Canis lupus familiaris: one gene and its partners. The protein of the gene in region 5 purifies or fractionates together with the protein of the main gene of each other region. This does not show direct contact. Links are inferred from orthologs where the notes say so. Each region holds a gene or a part of one and is shown on either strand. Other genes may lie near its edges. The genes, in order: MEPCE, COPRS, HTATSF1, RIOK1, SNRPB, CMTR2 and CHERP.

Evidence for each region.
Region 1: the proteins of SNRPB (region 5) and MEPCE purify together in Homo sapiens (affinity purification with mass spectrometry; 4 studies listed by BioGRID and IntAct, with this or other methods). This does not show direct contact. The link is inferred for Canis lupus familiaris from reciprocal best matches to the Homo sapiens genes SNRPB and MEPCE.
Region 2: the proteins of SNRPB (region 5) and COPRS purify together in Homo sapiens (co-immunoprecipitation; 3 studies listed by BioGRID and IntAct, with this or other methods). This does not show direct contact. The link is inferred for Canis lupus familiaris from reciprocal best matches to the Homo sapiens genes SNRPB and COPRS.
Region 3: the proteins of SNRPB (region 5) and HTATSF1 purify together in Homo sapiens (affinity purification with mass spectrometry; 3 studies listed by BioGRID and IntAct, with this or other methods). This does not show direct contact. The link is inferred for Canis lupus familiaris from reciprocal best matches to the Homo sapiens genes SNRPB and HTATSF1.
Region 4: the proteins of SNRPB (region 5) and RIOK1 purify together in Homo sapiens (affinity purification with mass spectrometry; 4 studies listed by BioGRID and IntAct, with this or other methods). This does not show direct contact. The link is inferred for Canis lupus familiaris from reciprocal best matches to the Homo sapiens genes SNRPB and RIOK1.
Region 6: the proteins of SNRPB (region 5) and CMTR2 purify together in Homo sapiens (co-immunoprecipitation; 3 studies listed by BioGRID and IntAct, with this or other methods). This does not show direct contact. The link is inferred for Canis lupus familiaris from reciprocal best matches to the Homo sapiens genes SNRPB and CMTR2.
Region 7: the proteins of SNRPB (region 5) and CHERP purify together in Homo sapiens (co-immunoprecipitation; 3 studies listed by BioGRID and IntAct, with this or other methods). This does not show direct contact. The link is inferred for Canis lupus familiaris from reciprocal best matches to the Homo sapiens genes SNRPB and CHERP.

The regions. Positions count from the first base shown.
Region 1 is NC_049227.1:9,182,778-9,186,897, forward strand, and holds the start of MEPCE (7SK snRNA methylphosphate capping enzyme), read right to left. Parts: upstream 2,801-4,120; 5' UTR 1,813-2,800; coding exon 133-1,812; intron 1-132. UniProt on the Homo sapiens protein: S-adenosyl-L-methionine-dependent methyltransferase that adds a methylphosphate cap at the 5'-end of 7SK snRNA (7SK RNA), leading to stabilize it.
Region 2 is NC_049230.1:41,073,836-41,077,580, reverse strand, and holds the end of COPRS (coordinator of PRMT5 and differentiation stimulator), read right to left. Parts: intron 1,642-3,745; coding exon 1,420-1,641; intron 932-1,419; coding exon 762-931; 3' UTR 501-761; downstream 1-500. UniProt on the Homo sapiens protein: Histone-binding protein required for histone H4 methyltransferase activity of PRMT5.
Region 3 is NC_049260.1:107,814,800-107,818,299, forward strand, and holds part of HTATSF1 (HIV Tat-specific factor 1), read left to right. Parts: intron 1-574; coding exon 575-664; intron 665-1,685; coding exon 1,686-1,823; intron 1,824-2,317; coding exon 2,318-3,500. UniProt on the Homo sapiens protein: Component of the 17S U2 SnRNP complex of the spliceosome, a large ribonucleoprotein complex that removes introns from transcribed pre-mRNAs.
Region 4 is NC_049256.1:8,648,144-8,652,420, reverse strand, and holds the start of RIOK1 (serine/threonine-protein kinase RIO1), read right to left. Parts: upstream 2,801-4,277; coding exon 2,730-2,800; intron 2,341-2,729; exon of another isoform or gene 2,197-2,340; coding exon of another isoform or gene 2,192-2,196; intron 1-2,191. Other genes in the region: CAGE1 (cancer-associated gene 1 protein), read left to right, coding at 3,300-3,309. UniProt on the Homo sapiens protein: Involved in the final steps of cytoplasmic maturation of the 40S ribosomal subunit. Involved in processing of 18S-E pre-rRNA to the mature 18S rRNA. Required for the recycling of NOB1 and PNO1 from the late 40S precursor.
Region 5 is NC_049245.1:19,125,763-19,129,798, reverse strand, and holds the start of SNRPB (small nuclear ribonucleoprotein-associated proteins B and B'), read right to left. Parts: upstream 2,801-4,036; 5' UTR 2,646-2,800; coding exon 2,643-2,645; intron 219-2,642; coding exon 67-218; intron 1-66. UniProt on the Homo sapiens protein: Plays a role in pre-mRNA splicing as a core component of the spliceosomal U1, U2, U4 and U5 small nuclear ribonucleoproteins (snRNPs), the building blocks of the spliceosome.
Region 6 is NC_049226.1:77,703,493-77,707,621, forward strand, and holds the start of CMTR2 (cap-specific mRNA (nucleoside-2'-O-)-methyltransferase 2), read right to left. Parts: upstream 2,801-4,129; 5' UTR 2,651-2,800; intron 2,334-2,650; exon of another isoform or gene 2,101-2,333; intron 1-2,100.
Region 7 is NC_049241.1:46,417,198-46,420,697, forward strand, and holds part of CHERP (calcium homeostasis endoplasmic reticulum protein), read left to right. Parts: intron 1-1,033; coding exon 1,034-1,178; intron 1,179-1,271; coding exon 1,272-1,361; intron 1,362-2,763; coding exon 2,764-3,016; intron 3,017-3,500. UniProt on the Homo sapiens protein: Involved in calcium homeostasis, growth and proliferation.

The DNA of each region.
Region 1 (4,120 bases), on a different chromosome or scaffold from region 5:
ATCCCTGAAGATCTGGTTCTCCTGGCAGAGTACATGCAGAAATCCCTCTGGGTCATAACTTTCCTGTCTTATTCCCACTTAATCTCATCTTCACACCTGGCCCCTATACCAAGAGCCTTCAGACCCTCTTACCGTGACGAAGACAACATTGTTGGGGAAGACTGATGTGTCTGCTCCATCCAAGGGCACTTGGGGTGCAGCGATGGGACCCCGGCTGGCTGTCAGTGAGGCTGGGAAGCAGCTTCTCTTTCGGACGGTTATGGTCCCTTCCTCACTCTCTGCCCCTGGGTCCCCCTCAGAAGTCTGGGATGGCAGACGCAGCTCCTCAGACAGGTAGTGTCGGATGTTTTGGCGGGCCGAATGAATGAGTCGGGAATCGATATCCAGACCCACCATGCGGGATGGGCCCCACTTACAGGCAATGCTCAGGGTCAGATGGCCCACATTGCAGCCCAGATCTAGGACGTCCCGACCCCGAAACCACTCAGGCTTCAACACTCGAAGGCGCCCATCCTCACAGGAGGGATTGCGGTAACCATAGTACTTGCAATAATTCCCATACTGGAACTTGAGCTGTTGCTTTTTGAAGACTGCTGCAGGTAGTGGGTGGAGGTGGAGGTGGTGGTGGTGGTGGTGACGGCCTCCCCCACTCCCTCTGCCCTTCTCCTTGGGACCCTGGACTCCACCCCTAGCCCCTGCCTCTGACTTGCTGGAAGTCCTGCGACGTTTGCGATGTCGTGAGGAGGAAGACGGGGTTGCAGAGGTAACTGAGGCAGCTGGAGGGGCTGAAAGGGAGCCTGAGGGACCCTGGAGGGCAGATGGAAGGGGAGACACGACCTCATCCCTGCAGTTGATGGCTGTGTTGAGTTCATAGGGCTGAGGGGCATCCCGGTTCTGGCCCCTGTGCCGCTGCTGCTGTGGGGTGCCCTCCCCATGGAGTGAGGGAGTGAGGGGGGCTGTGGGGAGCACAGAGTGGCTATCATTCCCTCCGGTTGCCTGCTGCTGCTGGTGGTGCTGTCCCCGATGTCTATGCCGCTTCCGACCAGTCTTGAGTGGCGATGCAAGAACTACCTGGGCCTCATCAGTGCAAGTATTGAGACTGAGCGGGTCAGTAATATCTTTGGGGATGAGGATCTCCACTGGATCTCGCCCCTTGGCTGGAAGTGGAGATGACTTAGGGGTCTCTGCATTGAGTGCGCGGCTCACTTCCTCATCCAGGAGGCTATTCAGGTTCAGTGGATCAAAGATATTGCCCCCCAGGAGAAAGTTGGAGGGTAACACAGAATCACAGTCCGAATTAACCCGCCTGCGCCTCTTGAAGGCCGGATGTTTGAAGCCTCCACCACTCCCTCCCACGTTACAACTATTTCTCCTCTTTCCCCCACCTCCCCCAGGGGGCCGGTGGGGCTGATAGCCATTGCGGGGTCGAGGAGGGGCAGGGGGACCCAGTTCTGTTCCGCCTCCTCCCCTTCGCTCCTCCCCAACGTCAGGGGGAGCGGCTCGCCCGTGGGGATCCGACAAGCGGGCCTCCCCATGAGACTGCGCCTGGGGGCCGCCCCCTCGTTGCTGCTGCGACTGGCCTCCCCGAGTGGATGTAGCCCCAGGGCTCTCCTTGCCGACCCCAGAAGCCGGGACCCCCGTCGAGTGTGTGCGCGGGCCCGGCCCACGCTGCGTCCCGCCGCAGAGCTCCCCGGAGGCGGCCTCTCGGTGAGGTTGCAGCGTGGGGCCGCCCCCTCCGCCCGACTCATCTTTGAGCGGCGGCGGCGGGGCCGGCACCAGAAACGGCTCCTTCTCCGCCGCCATCTCGATCATTTCCTCCCCTTATTCCGTCCCAGTTGAGGGCAACGGGGGGGGGGGGGGGAGAACTAGGGGGCTTAACCCCCCTCCCTAGAGCCCGCTCCCTTCCCCCCTTCCCTGAGTGCGCGCGCAGCTCTGCTCTTCTCGCCTAGTCTCGCGCCCAAGCGCCTCCCCCGAAGCGCGCCCCACTCGCCCGCGAGACCAAAACAAGATGCCCGCGAGAACCGAACAACTCCAGGAATCAACCGCGCGTGCGCCAACGCCTTTCTCCTCCACCACTACCGCTTCGCCGCGAGCGCGCACTGCTAAAGCGCGTTCCTCTCGCCCCTGAATCACGCATGCGCACTCCGCCACCACCCTGGTTGCGCGCGCATGAGTACGAACCAACTTAACGGCTCCGGGAGTTTAAATATAGCCCACCTCAGCCCCCACAAAAGCCCACCACCCCAAACTGACACCCTACTTCCCTTCGCAGCTATGTCCGTCCCTACTGATATCCTTTGTCTCTGCCGCGCGATCCCACCCACCGTAGGCGGGGGACGGGGAGCTGGTGTGAAAAGGTCTCCTTGACACCCGACCCTTGTTCCTGAGGAATGAGTCTCAGCGGTCTCCGCCCGGCTCTAAACCCAGCAACCTCCCTACCCCGCCTCCTTCCTCCCCCTAGCGGGCAGCGCCTGCGCACACCCTTTTGGGCTTGCGCGGGTAGATACAGCACGTGCTGGAGATGACGCCCCTCCCTCCACCCTAGGGGCGGAGACTGTTACGTCGCTTCCTTAGATTTGGTACACGCAACGTGCGTCAGCACGGTTTGGAGGGGGCGTGGTCAACGAGTGGGGCGGGCCTCATGAATTATTCATATTTCGATCGCCCCCTTTGCCCACCTACTTAGAAAGGCTTCCGAAGGAACGGAGGGGTGAACCTAAAAGTAGAGGAAGGGAAGGAGAGGAGCGTACAGACGGCTTGCCTACGAACTGTTCTCAGTAAAATACAATAAGTCATTGTAACTCACCCCCCTGGGAAATAGTCTCTGCTGAACTGAAAAAAAAAAAGGCACTAAAACAGCCGATGTTGTCCAACTTCCTCTTCCCCCGAAATGGCCGAGTCGTTCTCTCGCTCCTCCGCTTTACCCCAATGGCGATCACCTGGGGACACCACGCCCTCCTCTCCGCCTCCACACCCACAGCCCTGGCACCAACACCTCTTCCCACCACCCGACGCCTGCGCGCGAGCCCCTAGCCCGCCGACTGCGTCCCGACGCCCACCGCAGCCACCAATAGCAGCACATTCGCCACCACCACGGCCACCTCGCACGCAGGCCTTCCCAAGCACACGCTCTCTTCGCGCAGCCTTATATAAAAACGAGTGTGGGCGGGGAAGAGGGTTCGGCCTGCTTTGGGCCCCCTGCCTCGGCCAATGGGGAAGAAGCTGCTCGGCGCCCTTTCCACAGGGTGCTAAGGTGGCGCGTTCTCCCTGCCAACATAGCTTGGGGAGCGGGTCCTGTGGCAGAGAAGAAGGCGGGAGGGGCGACAGTGGGGTTGCAGATAGTCTCAACTAAAACATCAAGATAGGGCGTGAACGAGACTAAAAGGAAGAATAGGAACCAGGAAACGAAAAGAGGAAGGAAAAAGCAGTCTGGGGTAGAGAGAAAAGTTAGTAACAGACAGATGTGCTTCATGAACGATCAGGCGCTGCTCCCGCCGCCTAAAAAAAAAAAAGTGAGGACACTGAGGATTATGGGATTTGTAGTTTTACAGGGCATTCGGCTGGAAGATGGCGGATAGAACAGCTGCGCAAAAGCAGAAGCAGTTTCGGCTGCGCATGCGCCCCAGTTTTGGATGCACGCCGCGGGGGTGGCAGCGCAGCTAGTGCGTGTCCTCACGCCTTTTCTTTGTGGCGGGAAAACTGGGTCGAGGTTGGAGGGGTTTGCGGAATTGCTGCAGTGGCTCATTCTGCTCTTTGCCTTTAGGTCCTCCTTGCTCCAGAAGGTAGCTGGCTTTTCTCCGGTTGCAGATGAAAGTGCTAGGCGCTGCCAGTCCTGGTACCCGTCGCCTGAGGAGAAATTTTCTCTTCTGGACAACCAACTCCTACCCCTCCTAAGAATCTCCACCGCAGACCTACCCTCCGCAAACAAACAAAAGTGACCCAGTATCCTGGCGGCCAGTGACGGGCTGAGCAGGAATGAGAATACGGGTGCCTCCCCCGGGGGTGGGGGTGCGGTCGGGCCTCTAACGGGAAGTTATCTCATGGTGGCGGTTCCTGAGGTGGAAGAGAGGCTTGCAGCAACCCCCTGTTTTATCCACTGAGGGGAATCAAGGACTTGGAC
Region 2 (3,745 bases), on a different chromosome or scaffold from region 5:
ACATGGAACCTGCTTCTCCCTTTGACTGTGTCTCTGCCTATCTCTCTCTCTGGGTCTCTCATGAATAAATAAATAAAATCTTTTTATAAATAAATAAATAAATAAATAAATAAATAAATAAATAAATAAATAAATAAATAAATAAATAAAAAAAAGTTCAAAAATCCTTTCATACCAGCTGAGGGCTACATAACTGCTGGTTTAATCTATTTGCCATTTAGTGTTACGGCCTGCAGAAAGTTCTTGTTAACTAAGTAAATGGTCAATTTTTCATCAACAGGAATAGAAGAAATCAGCCACCAAGTCATCAATGTTTCCTGGATTCTAATCCTTGCCCCAAAAATTATTTTCTTTCACAGAGTAGTTTTAAGTGTCCAAGTATTCCAATCCTTAAAGTGTAAGCCATTTTACAAAGCCATTACTCCTTAACTGAAGGAGTAAGGCTTTGCTGGTAAGTAAGTATCCAGTTAGAAGGGGGGAGGGGAGTAAACAAAAGCAGATCAAATTTTTTCTACCTTTATTTATAAAGAACACGACTCCTCCTGACACAGACGCAAACACTCACATGTCCCAAGGAGAAGCTCATTAAAAACAACAACAGCATAACTGGAGGACATTGGGACCTTATCTAATGCCAGTCTGTGTGCTCGACTTGGGGATCGCTGGGAATGTGTCATCAAATGTGACCTCCACCTCCATGAAAGGAAGAGAGACCTTCATTTGGAAAGGCATGCCCACCCACCAGGCCAGAAGCTGCACACTCAATCTTCAGCATCATCAAACTGTCCTGTTTCGAAGACCATCTTGGAATAATGGGGTATCAGTGGAGGTGGATGGTGCCAACTAGGGTCATAGATCATGTCTCCTTGTGGGGCACAGCACACCCAAGGTTTGACCTCTTGAGAGATGCAACCCTGGATGTCATCAGCATCTGCAAGCAGTTAAAAAACAAACAAACAAACAGATTAAAGGTGGGGGGGGGGGAGGCAGGGACCGAGAGCCAAAAATACCTAGGGGACAGACACCTGAACTTTGTTTAAAAGCACACAGAGTGCTCCCTGGATTGCAAATGTGTTCATTCTGAGGAAGCCACCTAAGCAGAGCTTCTCAAAGGGGGGTCCTTTGCAGTGCAGAGGCTGCAACTGCAGAAGACAGCACTTCTGTCTGCAGAAGCTAGATTCACAACGATATTTTAAGAGAACAACACTGTTTCAATGTTAAAACTGATACATTATAAAGTCAACTACAAAATTTGTATTTTTTTCCAATATGAAAGAGAGGCTGTCACAGAAATTTCAGCCCTGTAACAGGTGTCAGGCTAAGGTCACAGACTGGGTCCGTCTTTCAAACGGTCTGCCTGTGGGGTAATTTGGTAAGAGGATCTCCGAACCTTGGACCCCCCAGAAATGCCACACCTACCATATGGATTGCCTTGATCTGCTTTCAACTCCAAATCCCAGTCCTCGTTAAAAATATCAGCAGCCGATTCCTTGGGCGGACAGTTGGACACCCCTTCTGACAGCTCCCAGGTATTCAGGTCCCCATCAGAATCCTCATCATCCACAGCAAAGCCTTCCTCTTCCGAGTGGGCGCCCTCATCATGGGTAGGACTACCATTAGGGACACTCTGTGCTCCACTGGCTAAGAAACCAACAGAAGGGAGAAGGTCTTAAAACCACCAGCATCTGCACAAGGCCTACTCATCATGTGCTTGGAAAATGTTTGCCAGATTTACTGTGAGGGCAAGAAGTGAAACAAGTGTACAGAGTTCTTTAGCCATCTGAGCACTTTATTATTGTTTTTTGAAAGATTTTATTTATTTATTCATGAGAGACAGAGAGAAAGAGAGATAGAGAGGCGGAGACAGAAGCAGAGGGAGAAAGCAGGCTCTATCCAGGGAGCCCGACATGGGACTTGATCCTGGGACTCCAGGATCACACCCCGGGGTGAAGGTGGCGCTAAACCGCTGAGCCACCCGGGCTGCCCCACCTGAGCACTTTAAAACAAAAATGTTGGGCAGCCCAGGTGGCTCAGCGGTATAGGGCCACCTTCAACCCAGGGCTATGATCCTGGAGACCCGGAATCGAGTCCCACATCAGGCTCCCTGCATGGAGCCTGCTTCTCTCTCTGCCTGTGTCTCTGCCTCTCTCTCTGTGTCTCTCATGAATAAATAAATAAAACCTTTTAAAAATAAATAAATAAAAAATAAAACAAAAATGTTGTTCTGTTTACCTTTTACAAAGTATGGTTGATCTTTTTTTTCAATAAAACTTTTTGCCTTAAATGAGGCCATTAATTGCAAGCTCTTGTAATTTGCACAGGGAATCAAGCAAATCAAGCACAGTTTATATTTTTAGGTAGTTTATGGGTAATTGAGGCAAAGGGCATCTGGCAAATGATAAGCTTTCATGACACGAACTTGAATTGAATTTTTACTATTCTATTTCTCTCTTCATCCTCAAGGAGCACAGGACAAGGTGCAGCAGGAGGAAAGCAGATGGAAGAGCAGAACCCATCTAATCACAGTAGACAGCCACCACGTCTCCTCCTCCCAATACTGGAGAGGGCTGGACGGTCTATTTTCAAAAAGTCTCAAAATAATGGAAGAAAGTCTGGGAGAGGATAAGAGACCTCCAAGTGTATCGTGCTATGGTAATGCCAGGTAGAGCTGGGAAAAGAATCAGCCTAAAAACAGCCATGTTACGAGTACTGCATAAGAATGACCAACAGCTATAAGCAAAAAAGTAATAGTTCAGGGCATGGGTTCTGGGGCTAGACTACCCCAGTCCCAATGCTGGTTCTGCCAATCTGCAATTGTGTGACTAAGCTGAAACATACTTAACCAAGTCTTCAAGAACTTCAACACACAGCCCAGCCATTCCACTCCTACATGGACCAAAGAATGGAAAACAGGTATTTTAACAAGATCTGTACAAAAATGTCCATGACAGTACCGCTCACAATCACCAGAAGGTGGAAACAGGTCAAATCAATGCCCATCAACAGAATGAATAACCAAGCAAGATGTGGTGTAACCATATGATGAAGGGATTCAGCTATAAAAAGGAATGTACTGATTCATTGTACATGAATGAATCTTGAAAATATTATGCTGAGTAAAGGAAGCCAGACATATAAGGCCATATAGGGTATCCCTCCATTTACATGCAATTCACATTTGCCTAACCAGCATAGGGGAAACCCAGAGACATAAGGCAGATCAGTGGTCGCCAGGGACTTAAGGAAGGGTAGATGGGGTGTGGCTACTTATCGGGCAAAGACTTTCCTCATGGGATGCTGAAAATGTTCTGGAACTAAACAGCCGTGGTGGTTACACAACACTGTAACTGTATGAAGTGGCACTGAGCTGTACTCTTTAAAACTGGTAAATGATAAATTTTATGTGTTTTACCACATTTTTTTTTTCATTTTTACTCTGTGCCTCAGTTTTCACATCTGTAACTATGAAGATAGGATTGTTGTGGGTGTTGTTTTTAAAAGGGGGCAATGGGAAAAGAAACACTTAGAATTGTACCTTGCACTTACTCAGTGTCAGCTGTTATGACTATTATCTCCATGTGTGCATGGTGCTTTTTCTGGACCAGCACTCTCTAACAGGACTTTCAGTGATGATGGTAATATTCTCTCATCTGTGCTCCAAAAGGCTAGCTAGCATGAGCCACATGTGACTGCTGAGCACTTTAAACGTGGCTAATGTGAATAGAGAAGTGAAGTGTTCGTTGTA
Region 3 (3,500 bases), on a different chromosome or scaffold from region 5:
AAGATGAACAGGCACCCTTATAAGGGAGGTTTACCCTGTAAGTTAAAATAGAATCTTGGAAGCACAAAGAACTATCTTAGAACACTTAGTCAATGAAAGGGCTATCTCTCTCTCCATGACAGCATTTCTGTAAATAGGCATCTATGCAAAACCCAAAGCAGAAGGCTCTGGTCAGTACACTCATGATGCCCGTGCAGGACAGAGGAATGAGCAGTGTCTGATTGCATATATGTCAGAGGACTTTTCCTGCCCGTACAGCTGCTGTTATTGGGGATTCCCGGTCCTCCTTCCCTGCTTCCCCTCCCCTCTGCTCCAGCACAGTCCTACTGCTGCCCGCCATTCTCAGCCCTTTCCTCAAGCTGAAAGCAGGGCCGCCCTGTAGCAGTGGCTGCAGTCTTGGTGATCTAACTTTAATCCGTTTTGACTTTTTAAGATTTTGTAGGCCTCAGACAAGACTACTTTTTTTTAAGTAAAACTTTTTTCGGTATGTTGGCTTGTCAAAGCAAGAAATGTGATTTCTCAGGGTTTGTATTTAAAGGGGGCAAACCTGTTTTAATCATGTGTATGTTTGCAGGATGATCCATTGGTGCTGAATGAAATCAGAGAAGACCTTCGAGTAGAGTGTTCAAAGTTTGGACAAATTAGGAAGCTTCTTCTCTTTGATGTAAGTTCGTGGCTTAGACAAATGATTCCTAAAGCCAAGCATTCTTTCCCTTTGAGAAGTTATTCCCAGAGGTCAGTATGCCACAAATTTTGGATTAATGTTTTTCTATAGTAGGGCTGCTATCTAGTAGTAGTCATCTGTCAGCAGTAGTTAGATGAACATGGATTGTAAGTCAGGGCTTGCTAGACTTGGTATGCCTTGGTGATTTCCCTTTATTGCCCTAGAGTGTGTGATCAGATGAAAGGAGTACAAGAAAGACGTGTGAGATCTTGTGGTTCCCTATTTGCCCCCATTTACCCCTCTTGGTGAATTACTCTCCTCCTCCATATTTGAAGAAAAATCAAGCAAAATATTCTTCTCTATGTTCCCCTTCTTACTCTGTTACTTCCTAGATTGACACATACTAAAAGATTCACCATTTATTGATTGCATACGGGCTACTTTACATGTTACCTCATTTAGTTCTCATGATCTTTTGAGGTAGGTGGGTACTATTCTACCCATTTTACAGATGAGGAAGCTCGGAGTTTAGAGATTGAGTGAGCACCTTGCTCAAGGTCATTTAGCTGCTAAGTGGTAGAAGCATTTCCAAGAACATCATGCTTGGTTCTTGATATACAAGATTAAGCTAAAGAAGCAGCTAGCTTTGGGGTGCCTAGGTGGCTCATTTGGTTAAGTGACTGCCTTCGCTTGGGTCATGATTCCAGGGTCCTGGGATCGAGCCCTGCATCGGGCGCCCCTCTCAGTGGGAAGTCTGCTTTTCCCTCTGCCCCTTCCCCAGCTCGTGCTTTCTCTCACTATCTCTCTCTCTCTCTCTCTCTCTCAAATAAATAAAATATTTTTTTTTTTAAAGAAGCAGCTAGCTTCAAGTCACTGGCTGGAGTAAAAAGGAAGAATGGCTTCATACATAAAATCTTGAAGCTTAAGTTATCAAAGAACTCCACTACATACTTATTTTGTCAAATGTGTATGTTTTATTTTTAGTTTTATCATTCATTGCTGCCTTTTCTTCCCTTTCTAGAGACACCCCGATGGTGTGGCCTCTGTGTCCTTCAGGGATCCGGAGGAAGCTGACTATTGTATACAAACTCTTGATGGAAGGTGGTTTGGTGGCCGTCAAATCACTGCCCAGGCGTGGGATGGGACTACAGATTATCAGGTAAATTCTGCAACTATCAAGGGCACATAAATTGTAACATTACCAACAAATGCTGATCTAGTGGTTCTTCAGATGAGTTTTGGGCTCAGTTTAATCTGTTTAATGTAACAGTTCTTCTAAATAATACTTTGCATCCAGAGCATAGAAAGAAAAATGTTTTAGTTTTTCAGTTTATAAGCCTGAAATTTTGAGGTGTGCTCAGAATAGTGGTAAGTAAAGGATGGAGAGCATTCAAGTATTAACTTTTTCTTTGATTTCTTTATTTAACAATTCTGCAGGACTGTGGTGTTGGGCTTTTGTTTAAATGATCTTAAGCTCAACTCCCATTAATCAAGATGTAAAATTTTGAAAACTGAATATAGGGAAATGCTCTGATTTCCTAAGAAGAGATGCTGTATGAAATCAGGGTATTTGTGTCAGTATCAGAAGTGTGCAGAGAAGTTATTTATTTTTGCCTAAAACTCATTTTAATAGCAATTCCCCTTTCTCCACAGGTGGAAGAGACCACAAGAGAAAGGGAGGAAAGGCTGAGAGGATGGGAGGCTTTCCTTAATGCTCCCGAGGCTAACAGAAGCCTTCGGCGTTCAAATTCCATCTGTGCTTCGGAAAGGGCGGGGCCTTCTAGGGTAAGGCATTTTTCAGAGCGCCCTAGCACATCGAAAATGAATGCACAAGAGGCCACAAGGGAAATGGCATTTGAAGAACCCATCGATGAAAAGAAGTTTGAAAAAACCGAAGATGGGGGAGAATTTGAAGGAGATGCTTCGGAAAAAGATGCCAAAGAAAGTGGTCCCGAGAAAGAGGCTGAGGAAGGCTGCGCCCAGAAAGAATCTGAAGAAGGCTCCCTCAAAACAGAGTCTGAGGAAGGCTGCCCCAAGAGGGAGCGTGAGGAAGACTACCCAGAGAGAGAGTCTGGAGAAGGCAGCCCTGAAAAAGAGTTTGAAGAGGGCGGTCCTAAAGCAGAGTCTAAAGAGAATGGCCCTGAACAAGAATCCAAAAAGAAGAGGCTCAAAAATGATTATGAAGAGAACGGTCTTGAAAAGGATTCTGACCAAGATGGCCCCAGCAAGGAGTGTGAAGAGGAGAGCCCTCAAAAGGAGTCTGAAGAGGATGACTCGGAAAGGGAATCCGAAGAAGACTTCTCTGAAAAGCAGTTTGAAGACGGCTCTGAGAAAGAATTTGAAGAAAATGGCCTTGAGAAGGATTTTGATGAGGATGCCTCCGACAAGGAGTTCGGCGAGAACATTCTCGACAGGGAGTTTGAAGACAATGACTCTGACAAATCAGAATTTGGAGATAGCAGCTCTGAGAGAGTGTTTGAGGAGGAAGTCTCAGAGAGGGAGTTTGACGAAGAGTCTGATGACAAGGAAGAAGGGGAGGACACCTACGAAAAGGTATTTGATGATGAGTCAGACGAAAGAGAGGATGAAGACTATGCAGATGAAAAGGGGCTTGAAGACGTTGATGAGAAGATGTTCGAAGACTCGGATGACAAAGAAGATGAGGAAGGAGTAGAGATAAAGGAAGGTGAGGACGTGGATGATAAGATGTTTGAAGAGGATGATTCCAACGGGAAGCTGTTTGATGATGACGATGAGGATTCCAGTGAGAAGCTGTTTGACGACTCTGATGAGAGAGGGACAGTGAGGGGTGTGGGCAACGTGAAGGAGGAAGGGC
Region 4 (4,277 bases), on a different chromosome or scaffold from region 5:
TCTATACTAATAAATGTATAAGTTTTCCTTCCACCACACCTCCCAATAAAACAGATTTCAGAGCGCCATTCCCATTGTTTGCTCATTCTCCAAGTCCTACTAAACAAGTACAGCAGGTAGGAAACCCACTTCTGCCTTAATGAAGTTAGGATTTACACTGTCATTTTCATAAATATAATCCTTTTTTTAAAAGATTTTATTTATTTATTCATAGAGACGAGAGAGAGAGAGAGAGAGAGAGAGAGAGAGAGAGGCAGAGACACAGGCAGAGGGGGAGAAGCAGGCTCCATGCAGAGAGCCTGACATGGGACTCGATCCAGGGTCTCCAGGATCTGGGCTGCAGGCGGCGCTAAACCGCTGCGCCACCGGGGCTGCCCCATAAATATAATCCTTAATTTGATCCTTCAATTGCCATAAACCTAGAGTGGCATGTTTAAGCTGGACTTCATTTGTACCAGAACTCCTCAACCTCAGCTGGGCAATTCTTTGTTGTGGAAAGTTGTTTTGTGCCTTGTAGGACGTTTAGCACTATTTCTAGCCTCTACCAACCAGATGCTACTCTGCACTCCCCCACCACCCAGTTGTAACAAACAAATGTCTCTAAAGATTGCCAAGAAACTCTGAAGTGTGGTGGGGTCACAAAATCCACTGATTTATCTTCAGTCTTGTGAATAGTGGATATTTCCAGTGATGGATGGTAAACCAGTGCACACTCATTACTGTTTATTCACCAGTCGTCACTGGGCTGTGTTTCTTCTTCCTACTTCTTCCCTAAAGATTTATATATGCCTCTTTGGAAACAAAAATCTGGAATGCTTTTGAAATAAAATCCTATTTCTCTGGCTAAATCTTATGTAACCTTCCAGTATTAGCTTATGATCAATTGCTCAGGGAAGTCTTCCCTATTCCTTATCCACTTTTCTTTTGTACTACTTACCCAATTCTAATGCAAATATCTACTGTCTAATTATTTTTTAAAGATTTACTTATTTATTTATTTAATTTATTTACAATAGACATAGAGAGAGAGAGGCAGAGACACAGGAGGAGGGAGAAGCAGGCTCCATGCTGGGAGCCTGACGTGGGACTCAATCCTGGGACTCCAGGATCGTGCCCTGGGCCAAAGGCAGGCGCTAAACCCCTGAGCCACCCAGGGATCCCCATCTACTGTCTAATTATTTAATGTTTCCCCTCCTCCCATGCAAGCCCTGTGTCAGTCAGGGTGGTGTTTACCAATGTATCCCTACCCACTGACATTAGATGTGACACACAGAAAACGATCAACAATTTAATAAAACCTACAAGTAATGAATCCTTACTGTGAACATAAAGTAAAAACTGCTTGTAATTCCAAAGGAACTCTTAGTTTCACGTAGGCGTTATCCTTCATTCCTTTTGCTCACATCCGATCCACCACCAGATCTTGTCACTTCTACCTCCAACACATATCTCTTTGACCCTATCTCTAGCTCCCGTCATGTTTGAACTGAATTACTTTATCATTTTTTTTCTTTAGAGAGAGAGTGCATGACTTGAGGGTGGAGGTGGGGTGCAGAGGGAGACGGCGAGAGAGAGAATCTTAAGCAGGCTCCACGCCTACCTTGAGCCGGATGCAGGCCTGAATCCCACCACCCTTGAGATCACGATCTGAGCTGAAATCAAGAGTCAAACCCTTAACCGGCAGAGCCACCCAGGCACCCCCATTTTATCAACCTTGAACTGCTTCCATCCGTGCCCATCCTCTCTGGAAGAGTAATTCCTTTAAACCATAAATCACATTGTGTTATTCCCCTGCTAAAATTCTCTCCTATGGCTTTCTTTCTATTAAGACCTGGAAAAACATCGCCAGCTCCTTGTCATCGCTTGGGAGGCTGTACATGACCCGGCCCCTTCTCGTTTCTACATCAGAGCCCCGCCATCCTCCCAATTCCTGCTGTGCTCCAGGTACGTGGCCTCTAGATCCTCCCTTCACAGCCAGAAGGGGCAGCCCCGCTGGGCCTCTGCACTCTTGTCTCCTCTTGCTGAACTGCTGTTCCCTCCTGCTCTTCCCGACTTTAGCTCCTTTTCTGTCCTTCCGATCCGGACTTACCTCTCCCCTGACATTGTCAACTACTCGGCCTATCAACTCATTTCAATTATTTGCACTAGCGCCTAACATCTGTTTCGGGGCTCTTAGACTATCTCTATGTACCCCATCGTCAAGTCCTCGCTCCCATGCAGAAGGCAATGTTCAGGCGACGGCAGGGACTCTTGTCTTATTCATCACCGTCTCCAGCGCCGCCGACAGAACCTGCACACAACAGGCGCTCCGATACCTTCTGGACGTTGGATGCAGCTCAAGAGGCAAAAATCTGTTTCCTGGGCGGCCCGGGTGGCTCAGCGGTTAGCGCCGCCTCCGGCCCAGGGCGTGACCCTGGAGACCCGGGATCGAGTCCCGCGTCGGGCTCCCTGCGTGGAGCCTGCTTCTCATGAATAAATAAATAAAATATTTTTTTTTAAAGAAAAATCGGCTTCCTCCCCGCTGTCCCCGGCTGCAGACAGTCGCCTGACTCAGCGATGCTAAGCGACCCGGGGCTCCTTTGGGGGGCTCTGCCGCAAAGTGGGATAAAAGACCCCGCGGGGGTGCGGAAAGAAGCGAGACAACTACTGGTCTCCCTCCAAAGCCGAGGGGGCCGGGGGGGGGGGGGCAGCGGAGCCCCCGCGGGGTCGGGGTGTCGGGGGCCGCGCACCTGTCGGAGGAGTCCGCGTCGTCGAACTGCCCCGGGACCACGCGACTCATCAGCAGCCGGCGGTAGTCCATCCCGGGAGCGCGCAGAGCCCCGGAGGCCGTCCGCCGCGCGCTGGGACAGGAACCTACCTGCGGCCCATGAGACCGCCCTTCGGCAGACGCCCGCCCAGCACGCGGCTCAGAGGCTCCGCCGCGAAAGGCGGGCGCCACGCGCTGATAACGCACCTGCACCGGCAACCCGGACGCGCGGGGGGAACTTCCCTGACCGGAAGTCCCGCCCGACCGGAAGGCGCGGCCCGCCGGAAGTCCCGCCCCTTCACGAGGCGGTGGCGGCCCCTGCGCAGGTGGGGGGCGTGGCCCAGAGGGGGCGTGGGAGCCCGGCGGGCCGCGAGCCTCGCGGAGATTGGCTGGCGCGGCGGGGTGACGTCACACGCGCGCGAGTCCAACGCGCCCGGTACCTCCGGCCGTTTTTTAACGCCTTGGGTGGGAGCGGGTGTGACGTTGCTCTTCGTCCCGCGCCGCGGCGTGCGGAGGCGGGAGGCTCGAGGTCCTTGCCGCGGTCCGGGAAACTATGGAGCCTGGTAGTTAGACTTAAGGAGTTTGGTGCCGTGTTTTGAGGGTAAACTAAGATAAGTGATTTTTTTTTTTTTTAGAGAGTTTGTCATACGACTGAAAACGCCTTAAAACCGAACTAGAGGGGCAGCTGGAGGGCTCAGGGCGTGACCCCGGGGTCACGGGATCGAACCCCGCATCGGGCTCCCCCGCAGGGAGCCTGCTTCTCCCTCTGCCGGGGTCTCTGCCTCTCTCATGAATGAATGAATGAATGAATGAAATCTTAAAAAAAATAATAAATAATAAGTTGATAGAATGTGCACTATGAATAAAGGTCCAGAAATGTGATTGGAAATTCTAGACCAAAAAAGTTTAAGGAATAAGACACTTGGTTTTTTGTTGTTGTTGGTTGCTTTTGTTTTTGTTTTGCGTTTAGAAAACAAAGATTTTTTTCAGATGCCCTTCACCACAGCGCAGGCAGCATTTATGTGTTTGGAAAGATGGAAAAGGTGATTAAAAAGTTCACTAATCCCTGGCTAGCCTGCTTGACCCACTGGCTTTTTTTTATACTTTACGGGATGACATAGTAGCTTGCAGGGGGAGGGGATGGGAATCAAGCCTCAATTATTATTCGTTAATTCAGCAATTCAATAAAATAAAATCAGGCAAATGGCCAGTGACTGTAGATGGAGAAGTTTTAGTAAAAGTAAGTCCTTGGACTGCAAGGTTCGTTCAATCAATAGTCACTCTGTGAACGACATTGCTGTTTGCTGTAAGGAGTTCTGAAAAATCACGCATGGACTCCAATGGACGCACTTATAGTCTGTAAATACTGTGGGGCACCTGGCTGGCTGTAGGAAGAGCATGCGACTTGATCTCAGGGTGGTGAGTTCAAGCCCTATGTTGGGTGTAAACATCACTTTTTAAAAACGTGTAAATATTGACACCCTTGAAAGGGTGGCAGAGGTTAAAACAGTAAAATGAATAGGTGCTGAAT
Region 5 (4,036 bases):
TGGCCCACCCACCCAGTCCATTTCCCTCACAATTTAAATCCCACCCCCATGCAGCCCACTTCTCACTTGATTTTCCTGAACTCATCACAGTCACAGAGAATCAAATTCATATGCTTGTCAAAAGCCTTGAAGGTGCCAATGAAGATCCGGCCGTCTTGTAGGATGCACCTCATCCTATAGTCGATGTGCTGCAGCATCTTGCTGCTCTTGCCCACAGTCTGCAAGGAGAAATCAGCAGGATCAGAGTCAAGCTCTTTTGAACCTATATATCCCTGGTCCTTCCTAAAAACCAGCTCTGGCCTACTTTTCCACATGGCTATCTCTCTCAACAACTTCTCAGCTCTGTCTTCCTTTCCCGGGGAATTCTCCCACACCCAGTGTTCAGCCCAGACCTCTGCCCACAACTCTCTTACTCTCCCTTAAAATCAGTCTTTTTCATATCACAATTGCCTGTGTGTCTGCTGTGTCAGTTTCAGGGGTGAGGAGTAAGGTATCTCCAAACTAATCCAATCCCCCCATACCAGATTAGCCATCTGCCACTATGCAGGTTACAGGTGTGTGACTCCAGTGCTGTGGAACACCCACAGCCCAGTTAAAGGACCGAGTAAAACAGCTGGAATGATTGGCACTAAGGATCCAATCAGCAAGAATCTATTATCAGAAAGGAGCTGATGAGCTTGGAGGCAAGGCAAATGGAATCCCTAAACGAAAAATGTTAATGTGCCTCCAAAACTGTCTTTGGGAGGGAAACTTTCTGGTGGCCAGGGTGCTCATCAGTTTGAACACATAATGGTCTTTAAACTTCTTTATCAATCCAACAACCTTTTCTGGTTTGTAGCCTGGCTTCCAAGGTAGCTTTGGTAAAAGACAGACTAAATAGAACTCACAACGCAAATTGCCAGGTGCCTTTGGCAGTTATACCTCTCTAGAAATAACCTGGCATTTGATTTGTGTATCAGCCTTCCAAGTGTCGTCTTCTTGCCAGTTACTGTGCTTGCTGTTCATCTCTGTAAGCTTGGACAAGAACAGGTTTTTCAACCCACCAATGTGTGGATCAGAGCCTTGCCTAGAGACACAAGTTATGTGGCTCACTCTCCCTCAAATGACTGTTAACCAGCTACAAGCTGGTTAACTTGAGTCCAGTGTCCCCATTTAAATCTGCCCTCTAGATTCTAGCCACACAGATCTGAAGCCTTATGGCAACATTTACTGGTCTGTCCACCTTATAATAGGTAAGTCTTCCTGGTCGTTCACTGCGTACCAGGCACTGTGACAAGCACTAAATATCTTTTATTTTTTTAAACATTTTATTTATTTATTCATGAGAGACACAGAAAGGCAGAGACACAGGCAGAGGGAGAAGCAGGCTCCATGCAAGGAGCCTGATGTGGGACTAAATCCCGGGTCTCCAGGATCACACCTTGGGCCCAAGGCAGATGTTTAACTACTGAGCCACCCAGCAGTCTCTAAATATCTCATTTAATTCTAAAAACCAGGCTAATTATTATTCCTATTTTACAGATGCAGCCACTGAGGTCAGGAGAGGTTAAGTAGCTTGCCCCGTCTCACAGCCAGGAAGCTGGTCTGGAACCTAGACAGACTGAATCCAGTGCCTACTCTTCCAAACCAATCCTACAAACAATCCCCGGCTTTCGGTTCACCCAACACGCAACAGCCACAGAACAGAGCGCTCTTTCTAAACACAACTGCGTCCACGTCATTTCGCTGGCTACATCCTTCCACGGCATCCCTCATCACCAACGGGATCAGGCAGCATGGAAAGCCTTTAGTAGCCAGGTTCCTGCCAATTCCTCCCATCTCTTCTTCCATCCCTTCCCCCTCGACCCCTCCAGGAACCCTCAACAGTGCGGCCCTTCACGCCCTGCTCTTGGAGCCCTCCCAATCTACAATACTCCCTTCCATCGAGGCTGGGGAGACTCCTGTAACAACCTGTTAGGACTCTGCTCAGGAACCATCTACTCCAGGAAAACGTTCTTATCCCGCCCCCCCCCCCGCCCCGTTACTTTTACGCAGCGCTTAATTACCACTCTGGATCATATTACCTGCGTCCGCAACTAGAAAGCGAAAGGAGTGGAGTAGCCCCAGTGCCTGAGAAGCCAGACACGCTCACACAGACCTGCCCCACAAAGGAGTTGAACCCTTCCTCCATCTTCGGTTTCCCTCCCATTCCCTCCTCCCATCTGCTAGACCCAAGCACGCTCTCTAGTTTCGGCCAGAAGTCCTCCCCGCTTTCCGCAAGTCCCCCTCAGACCCTCACCCCGTTTCACGAGTCCTCCTGAGGCTCTTATGTCTGCTCCGAAACCCCAAACGCGCATTTATTGCGCAAAAGTTTACTTCGTGCCTGCAGGATCCCAAGCACCGTGGCTACAGCGGCGTGGACAGCCGCGGGCCCATCCTCGCCACCACCTAGCGGCCCCGGCCTCCGTCCCTCGGCCCCAGCCCTCCCTTCCCCCAACCCGTCCAAAGGCCACGGTCCGAGTCTCCCCCGCCCAGACGCGGCGGCTGCGGCCCGGGCCTTCGCCGCCATGAGCCCCCAACCCACGACCTCCTCCCGACCGGCCGCGGTGCCCACTCCACGACAGACTCGGAAGTTCCCGCGCAGCCGGCCTGCCCGTCCTCACCATGGTGGCGGTTCTGATGGCTCCGATTCCCGCCGGATTGCCCTCAGCAGAGGCCTAGACGCCCGCTACTACACCGCTTCCCGCCGCCGCTACCGGAAGTGCGGCCGCGGATAAAATGGGGTCGGGTAAAAACTACTTCCGGCCCGGCGTCGGCTCTTGAGTTCCGGCCAAAACGCCGACCTGGGAGCCTAGACGCCCGCGGGAGTTTGGGGCGGGGCTAACGTCAAACAACATTTCCCGGGATGTTAGGTCACCTCCCTAGCTTCAATCGGTTCCGGAGCTGCCCGCACGCCCCTCCCCATTACCTCTGGGTCTCCAGGTCCCACCGCTCTTCCCTGGCCTGTCCTTTTCTGTGAACTTGCTGGACGAGCTCCTGCCTTAGCACCTTTGCAATGCTAGTCGTCCAGGTACCTGCACGACTCCTGCCCGAACATCCTTCAGGACTTCAGCTCAAGTAACATTTTCCCACTGAGGACTTCCCTGGCCATCCTTATTTAAACTGCAGCCTTCCCGCCCTTACCTGCTTTATCTTCCTCCTTAATGGTGATCCCTAATATACCGTGTTTCTGTTGTTATTCCTCCCCATTAGGATGCAAGTTCTGAGGGTATAGATTTTCCTTTGTGTATTTTTCGTTACCGCAATGCCTAGCTCTAAACATATTTCCATGAACAAATGAGTCAATCAACCAATCCCATCCAGTCCTATGACTTGTGAATACTACCTAAATGCTCAGGAATTTCAGATTTATTCCTCTAACCCTGGGTGCTTTATTTAACTCGTGGCCAAAATCTCCAGCCACCTGCTTGACCTGGAGGTCTAATATACTAAATATAACATGGTGAGGGACGCCTGGGTGGCTGACTGGTTGAGCATCTGCCTTTGGCTTAGGTCATGATCCTGGGATCCTGGGATCGAGTCCCGCATCACGATCCCCGCAGGGAACCTGCTTTTCCCTCTGCCTATGTCTCTGCCCCTTCCTCTCTCTCTCTCTCTCTCTCTCTCTCATGAATAAATAAAATCTTCTTTTTTTATTTTTTTAAGATTTGCATGGGCCAGAGCTGGTCTACAGTCATCAGGCAAGCCAAAGATGGGAGCAGGGTCACCGAGGGACTTGGATGTGCATGGGGAGCCAGGGTGACATTGACACAAAGCATATACTGCATAGTGTCTGCACCTGAAGGGCTGCAGCAAACAGATATATCATGCATATTGGGAGAAAATAAAAACAGCATAGCATGGTATTATATTCCATTTCCACTGGGGAAAAGATTATGCTAGGAATCCCATTGCTGACAAACTAGGGCAGGTGTACAGCTAGGTTGTCTTCGAGGGATGATGGGGGGTGTCACTAGCAAGGTTGGACTCCAGGGATGAAGGGCTGAGGGGGCATGGT
Region 6 (4,129 bases), on a different chromosome or scaffold from region 5:
TTCTGTGTTTTAACACCGTCTAAGAAACCAAAAACATCTGTCCACTAGAGAGGGAAAGAGATATAATGGAAAAAAGCATGGCTTAATGGCACAGTGTTGGCCTGAGTTATAAATTCTAGCAGTTAGAGCTCTAAGTATTACCTAGGACTTGTTGGCTCAATGTTAATTAATAGGTGCTTTAGTTCAAAAGTTCCACGTTTACTCAGCATATTCAATGCTACACCAGTTTTTCAAAAAGTATCTAAATTGTCAAACACAAAAAAACGACAAAAAAACCACCAACCCACAAAAAGCCAATGTGTGATTAAGATGAGAAATAAAGTGAGCTAATGCCACAAAAAATACAATAATATATAGAAGGCTGTATTCTATTACCATTTGTTTTGTACTATATTTTAGCACACTTTTCTCATCCTCTTCTATTTTGTTTAAAGTATTTACAACCCTGTGTACTCCACTAGCCTATAAGCTTCTTGAGGTAACAAGTATCTTCTTAGTCATTTTTGTTTGCCACAACGTATTTACAATACACACAAATCATCAGTTAGTAGTCACACTTGCCCATCAATACCTTGTCCATATATATATATATATATATATATATATATATATATATTTTACTGTTAGAAGCTATATTCAGACAGATTTCTGAAAGACAAAAATGAGGCATTGTCACATTCACTAAAACCCTAAATAAAATCAAATGAAAGTTTATTACAAGTTATTCTGTCTTAATTCACACTGTGCTTACTGGAAACTATGACCATGTTTAGATCGCAACTATATTCTATTTTGGAAAAAGTCTGATTTTAGTCTAACTTCACATACTAATTAATGGCTGTAGGTAAGCTCTGAAATCTTGCCTAAGCTAATAGATAATTATCTTTACATGAGAAAAACTAAAATGATTCAATGATTTAAATCATTGATTTGAATCATTTGAATCATTTGAATCTTGATTTGTGTACCACAAATGTATTTTATGTATTTATATATAAATTATGTATTACATATATCTTATGTGTTTATATATCTTATGTATTTATATATAAACTATAAATATTGAACATGTATATATTGAATAATGTTCAGGTCTACAATCCCACCTTTCTTTCCTCCTATCAAATTCCCAGGCTCAAGCCACTCGCTCACCCACCTCCACCTACCAGCCTCCTACAGACACTGTCAATTTTCTGCGGGGCTATTGCCAGAGCCTTCTAACTGGTCTCTTCTATCTTTGTCTCCCCTGGCTCCCCATTTCACTCAAAGTAAAGGCCACAGTCCTTACAATAACCTCCAAGGACCTTGAAGATTTCTGCCCTCCAGCCCCAACCCATCTCTAAACTAATTGTCTATTGTTCCTCATATTCTTTCTGTTCCAGCCACACAAGCTTTCTTGCTGTTCACTGAAGCACCAGGTACACTGCAACCTGTAAGCCTGTGCACTGGGCAACCCCTCTGCCTGGAACACTCTTCCTTCAGATGACCTGCACAGCTCACTCCCTCACCTCCTTCAAGTATTTACTCACATGCAATTTCTCTATGAAACCTACCCCAACATCCTAATTGCATTTTGCAATACCAATGGTAAAGGGAAGGACCTTGCTGTACTTCTTTTTTCCCCCATGACACTCTTTTTTTTCCTTATAACATATAGTTCGTTTGCTTATTATGTTTATTACTGTCTTCTCCCAAAAAATAGAATCTAAGCTCCACAGGGCAAAGATCTTGGTTTTGTTGATTCATTTATCACACCGAGGTTATAACAGTGCTTAGGACACAATAAACAGTGAATATTTAACGAATAAATGTTAGCACAAATGGCACTCGTCAGATTAGGTTCTGAATGAGTCATGATAATGCACTTCAACCTCACTCCGGCATGACCAATGCAATACCCAAAAATTAAAAAAAAAAAAAAAAAAAAAAAAAAACACGTGGTTTATAGAGAAAAAAGTTTCCCGTGGGTTCCTCTGCGCCTTTCACTGAGCACGCCATCGAGCTCTGAGGCATCACAGCTCCGCTAGGAGGGTCAGCAGTAACACTCCTATTTTGCAGTCAAGTAGGAAGTCATGCAGCCCGAAGCCTCGAAGGAAATACCTGCAAAATCGTCGGCCTGACACGAAACGCACGAGACCTCATCAGCTGTGCTCTCTCCAATTAACGTCGACTAAGGAGTTTTAGAAGTTACCTCCCGCAGCTCGGCTCCCAGCGACTCCGGCAATCACAGCCCGAGTGTCACCTAGCGCCTTCGCTACTTCGGGCCGGGGCGCCCAAGACCCCGTTTCACCGGACGGAAGGGAGTCCCAAGCTCCATTCGGGCGAGCGGCCCGACCCCGGGACGAACCCCCGGCCCACGCCCCGCCCCCGCTCCGGACCGGCCTCGGAACCCGGGCCTGAGGACCTCCGCTCACGCCCACCTCACCTCGCCCCCCGCCCCGCCCCGCCCCGGGGGAGAGGTAGCGCCTCCCTCCTCTCCTCACTCGAGGGAACCCTCCTCCGCTTCCGCTCCCGGGGCCGCTTCCCGGAACGGCCGCTGCTCGGGGCGTGCGGCGCCGGCGCCCCCGGCCGCAGCGGAGGTAGGCGGCGCCCCGAAAGGCCGGGAAACTGGCCCGGACGCGCCCTCGCGACCCCGGCAGCGGGAACCCACCTCCAGGCAGCGCCGCCGCCCGACGCCGGCCGCCCGCGGCCCGAGGGCCCCGACACACACATTGCGCACGCGCCTCGAGGCCGGGCTGGCGTTACGCGTCAACGTCACGCACGCCGGGACTCTCGTAGCGCCCAAGCCCTCGCTCGCTGGGTTTCGCTTCTCCTTCTCCGCGGGGTCCCGGGGACGCCAGCCGCCTTGCCCACGGCTCCCATGGCAACGGAAGCCGCTCGCGGAGGTGGGGCGTCCTTTGGCCCCGCCCCGGCGGAGGGGGGGGCGGGGGGATGGGCGGGGCCAACCTGTCCCGGACACGCTGCCTCCGCCCACCGGCCCTGGGAGGGGAAGCTTTCTAACCTCGTCCGGCAAAAGTTGGTTCCTAACTCAGGCTGAGTTAAAACTCGTGCTCTAAAAACAATATGAGGTTAAATATGATATATAATATCACATAAAATCATATCAAATATGATATATAATATTTATAATATTGATATGCTATAAATAATAGCATATTGATATATTTTATATATCGATTATATATTACATATTACTATAAATAATAGTATATTGATATATTTTATATATCGATTATATATTACATATTACTATAAATAATAGTATATTGATATATTTTATATATCGATTATATATTACATATTACTATAAATAATAGTATATTGATATATTTTATATATCGATCATATATTACATATTACTATAAATAATAGTATATTGATATATTTTATATATCGATTATATGTTACATATTATTATATATTATATATATATATTTTTTTTAGGGGCACCTGAGTGGGTCAGGTTGAGCGTCTGCCTTTGGCTCAGGTCGTGATCCCGGGGTCCTGGGATTCAGTCCCTCATCAGGCTCCCTGCGTGGAGCCTGCTTCTCCCTCTGCCTGTGTCTCTGCCTCTCTGTGTCTCTCATGAATAAATAAACAAAATCTTTAAAAATAAATAAAAATAAAAATACATTATTTTACAAGTCCTTCAGGATATGCATCGATCAAAGGGAAAAAATTGTCTTTCCAAAAAATGGTGCTGGGTCATTTGGATATTCGTATAGAAAAAAATTTTATGTGGACTCTTACCTCACATAAAAAAAATAACATTTCATTTGGGTTGCCAATCTATATTTTAAAAAGGCAAACAACTCTTTTAGCAGAAAACATCTTTGTGACCTTGAAATAGGTAAAAAGTTTACAACAAAGCAGAAAAAGCACTAATCATAAAGAGTAAGTATATAAATTGAACCATATTAAAATTAAGAATGTCTATTCACCATAAGACACCATTGAGAATGAAAAGACAACCTACAGAGTGGGAGAAGATATTTATAACACATATGTATGACAAAGAATTTGTATCCAAAATATATAACTCCTACAAATAAGTAAGAAAAAATGCTCTAGGGATCCCTGGGTGGCTCAGTGGTTTGGCGCCTGCCTTTGGCCCAGGGCACAATCCTGG
Region 7 (3,500 bases), on a different chromosome or scaffold from region 5:
AGTTTGGCTTTGAGCTTGGCCTGCCTGAAGGGGATGGCTCCCCCGAGAGCAGCAGAAAGTGACTCTGCCTTTTCCCTGCCCCTTTCTCCATCTTGCCCCATCTCCTGCTACGCACACGTGCAGCCTGGGTCCTCACCCTCTGCTCTCTGTTTCCCTGTGCCACATAGGTGGCTCCCTTGCCACTTGGCTGCTCCTCACCCTGCCCCTCCCTTATTTTTCTGCTGTTGGGGAATAGGCAGCTGCTCAGAACCTTTTCTGCTCTCCTGCTGCCACCAGCCACTCTGCTGACCAGGGCAGCTCTGCAGAGACCCGGCCCCGTTTCTGGCATTTGTCCAGCCACACTCCTCTTGCTCGGCTCTATGCAGAAGCCCAGTGCCGCTCACCCTGTGCTCGGCCCCTCCTCTCCCCGTCCTGGTTCCCAGCCTTGCACTCACTGCTGTCTCTGAGCACCCTCTGGTGGACTTGGTGCTGGGAGGGCTTCAGGCTACTCACCTTTTGCCTCCCTCCTGTCAGAGGCAGCACATGTGCTGTCGGGCTCTGCCGCCTTACGCACGGCCATGGGGGCCACGGCCTCTGCACCCCCTTACACAGCCACCCCGGGAGGATGTGAGGGCAGGCTGCCTCACGTCCCTAGACGCCTGGCTTGCCCCACACACTCCCCCACCTCCTGAAAGGCGGGGATTGAGCTGTGGTTTCATTGTGCATAGGGGGTGACAGGGCTGAGTGAGGCCACATGGACAGCTGGGGCTCCTCAGGCCTTGGGTCTGTGCGTCCTTGTGCCACCCCGGGAGGGAAGGGTTATTTTACGGATCAGAAGACCAGGGTGACAGCCCTTTCTCTGAAGGTCCCCAGGCTGTTCTTTCCCTTCTCCCACTTGCTATCTACCTGTCACTCGGGCCCAGGCGCCAGCACAGGTCTTGTGGGGAGCCCAGCCCTCGTCCCAGCCGGGTTGGGGGCCCGTGTCCCGAGAAGGCAGAGGGTGCTGTGGCTGGAGCCGCAATGGTAACGGGCGCGTGGCCGGGTCCCGCCCCAGGGCCCTGACGCGCGGAAGGTCTCTCCCTCACAGCCAGCGCAAGCAGGCCAGGGAGCTGCTGGCCGCCCTGCAGAAAGTCGTGGTGCCCATCTATTGCACCAGCTTCTTGGCCGTGGAGGAGGACAAGCAGCAAAAGATCGCACGGGTACATGGGGCAGCCAGGAGAGACGGAGGGCAGAATGGGGGTGGGGATTGCTGGTTTTCCTTCTGACACGGCCTCTCCTTCCTCCGCACCCAGCTCCTGCAGCTCTGGGAGAAAAACGGCTACTTCGACGACTCCATCATCCAGCAGCTGCAGAGCCCAGCCCTGGGGCTCGGCCAGTACCAGGTGAATACCTTCCCCACCCACACAGCACCGAGAAGGTGGGGGGCTATCCCCAGAGAGTGGGGCAGTTGCATTCCAGCACGTTCCCAGAAGTCAGGTGGCCAACAGCCCCTGCCTGGGGTGGCACCTGCCGGTGGGGTGGTGATTTCGGAGGCCAGGTAGCATTTTGCACACGGGACTCCCACACGTGTCTCTGGAATGATGGTGAGAGCGGGAGGCTAGGGTCTGAGCAGCAGCCTGTGGGCGGGGCTCCTGCTCTCTCCACAGTGACCAGCGAGCCCCTTCCAGGTGAGCCCGCCTGACTATTTTCCTGGTGCTCTTGTGGTCGGGTGGCCCTATTCAGGCCCTGCTCATGGCAGTGGCTTTGGCCTGTCGGCCCTGGTCCTTTGGGCTTGCTTCTGCATGATGGAAGCATAAAGCAGCCTGGACGTCACCTAGGCTGTCATGGCCACATTGTGCATTAGTCACGTCCTCTGTGTGGGTTTGTCTTCTCTCTGGGGAGGCATCTGCTCAGATGATGGTGGCGCAGGGCAGAAAGGGAGGGCCAGCCAGGTCTCCTTGGTCACTTCTGCTGTGACACCAGCCTGGCTGCCCCGTCTACAGCTGCTGGAATAAAGGCAGAGCTCACACCCCCTCTTCTCAGGCCGGAAGCTGTGGTTTTGGAAAAGAGGAGGTTGAATTTCAGAAGCTGTGCTGTCCATTTCCTCTGCGACGGCCTGGAGGCTACCCGCACAGGGGGGAAGCTTTCATACTCCCACAAAGGCATATGAGGAACGTGCATGTCCAGTTGTGAATTTTTTTATCTTTTTCATTGTTAGAGCAGGCTTATCACACCCTATCGCAGCGGCGTTAGCTGTTCCCGTCCCTCCCGAAGCTGGTGGCCGCAGCTCGTGTTTACTCAGCCACGCTAGTCACTTTATGTGGTGTTTCACTGGGTTGTCCCCACAAATCCTTGAAGGGAGGTCCTGTTATTGTTTTACAGAGGAGGAAACGGAGGCTCAGGGAGGTTATGACTTGCTTAGAACCCCGTAGCAAGTGAGCACCATGGCCCGTGCCTGCGGCTTAGACCATTTGTCTGAGTCGTATCTCTGATAGTCGTGTGATAGGACAGGGCATGGCTCCTTCCTGTTGTTAGGGAATCACACACCTCACTGCAGCCAGCGCTCTGGTCACTCGTTTTGGCAAGATTTATACACTCTGTGCTTGACAAGACCATGTTAATTGTTTTACATGACAGTCACGTGGCCACCTGCTCCGGGCTCTTGCGCCTCAGCACCTGAGGCCCTGTCCTGAATTCCCGGGGCTTTCCTGGCCCTGTCCCTGGGTTCTGCCAGAAGGGATGGGCCCTGAAGTGATCCCCAGGCTTCCATCCTGAGTGCCAGCTGCTCCCCCCTCTCTCTGCCAGGCTACGCTCATCAACGAGTATTCCTCGGTGGTCCAGCCAGTGCAGCTGGCCTTCCAGCAGCAGATCCAGACCCTTAAGACGCAGCACGAGGAGTTTGTCAACAGCCTGGCCCAGCAGCAGCAACAACAGCAGCAGCAGCAACAACAAATTCAAATGCCACAAATGGAGGCTGAGGTCAAGGCCACCCCGCCGCCGCCCGCCCCGCCTCCGGCCCCCACGCCTACCCCTGCCATCCCACCAACCACCCAGCCTGGTATGGGGACTCCTTCGGCACCCCTTCCGTGGGGTGGGGTGGTCTAAGAAGGCAGCTTCGTTCCCCAGAGAAGGGCTCTGGTTCTGTGGACCAGATCCTAAGGCCGGATTCTGACCTGTTTGCAAACACCAGGCCCAGGGATTTCACAGGTAGATGCAACCAAACCCTTAAAGCTTGGGTGATTGCTGTACAGACTATCCCAGAGAAGACAGAGAGGAAAGCTGCCCAAATCATTTTTCAAGACCAGGGTAACTTTTACACCAGATGGACAAAGAGAAAGTTTCATGGATATCAGGCAGTGTCACTTATGAACAAAGATGCAGAAATATGCCACACCTGAAATCCAGCAAGGTGTTTTAAAACAAGAACAACAAAAAAAAAACACCATGATAAGATAGGATTTGCCCCAGGAATGTGTAAGGGTGGTTTAGCACTTAGAAGTTGCATGAAACAACAGATGAGGCGGTGAAGAAACCATCTTTCA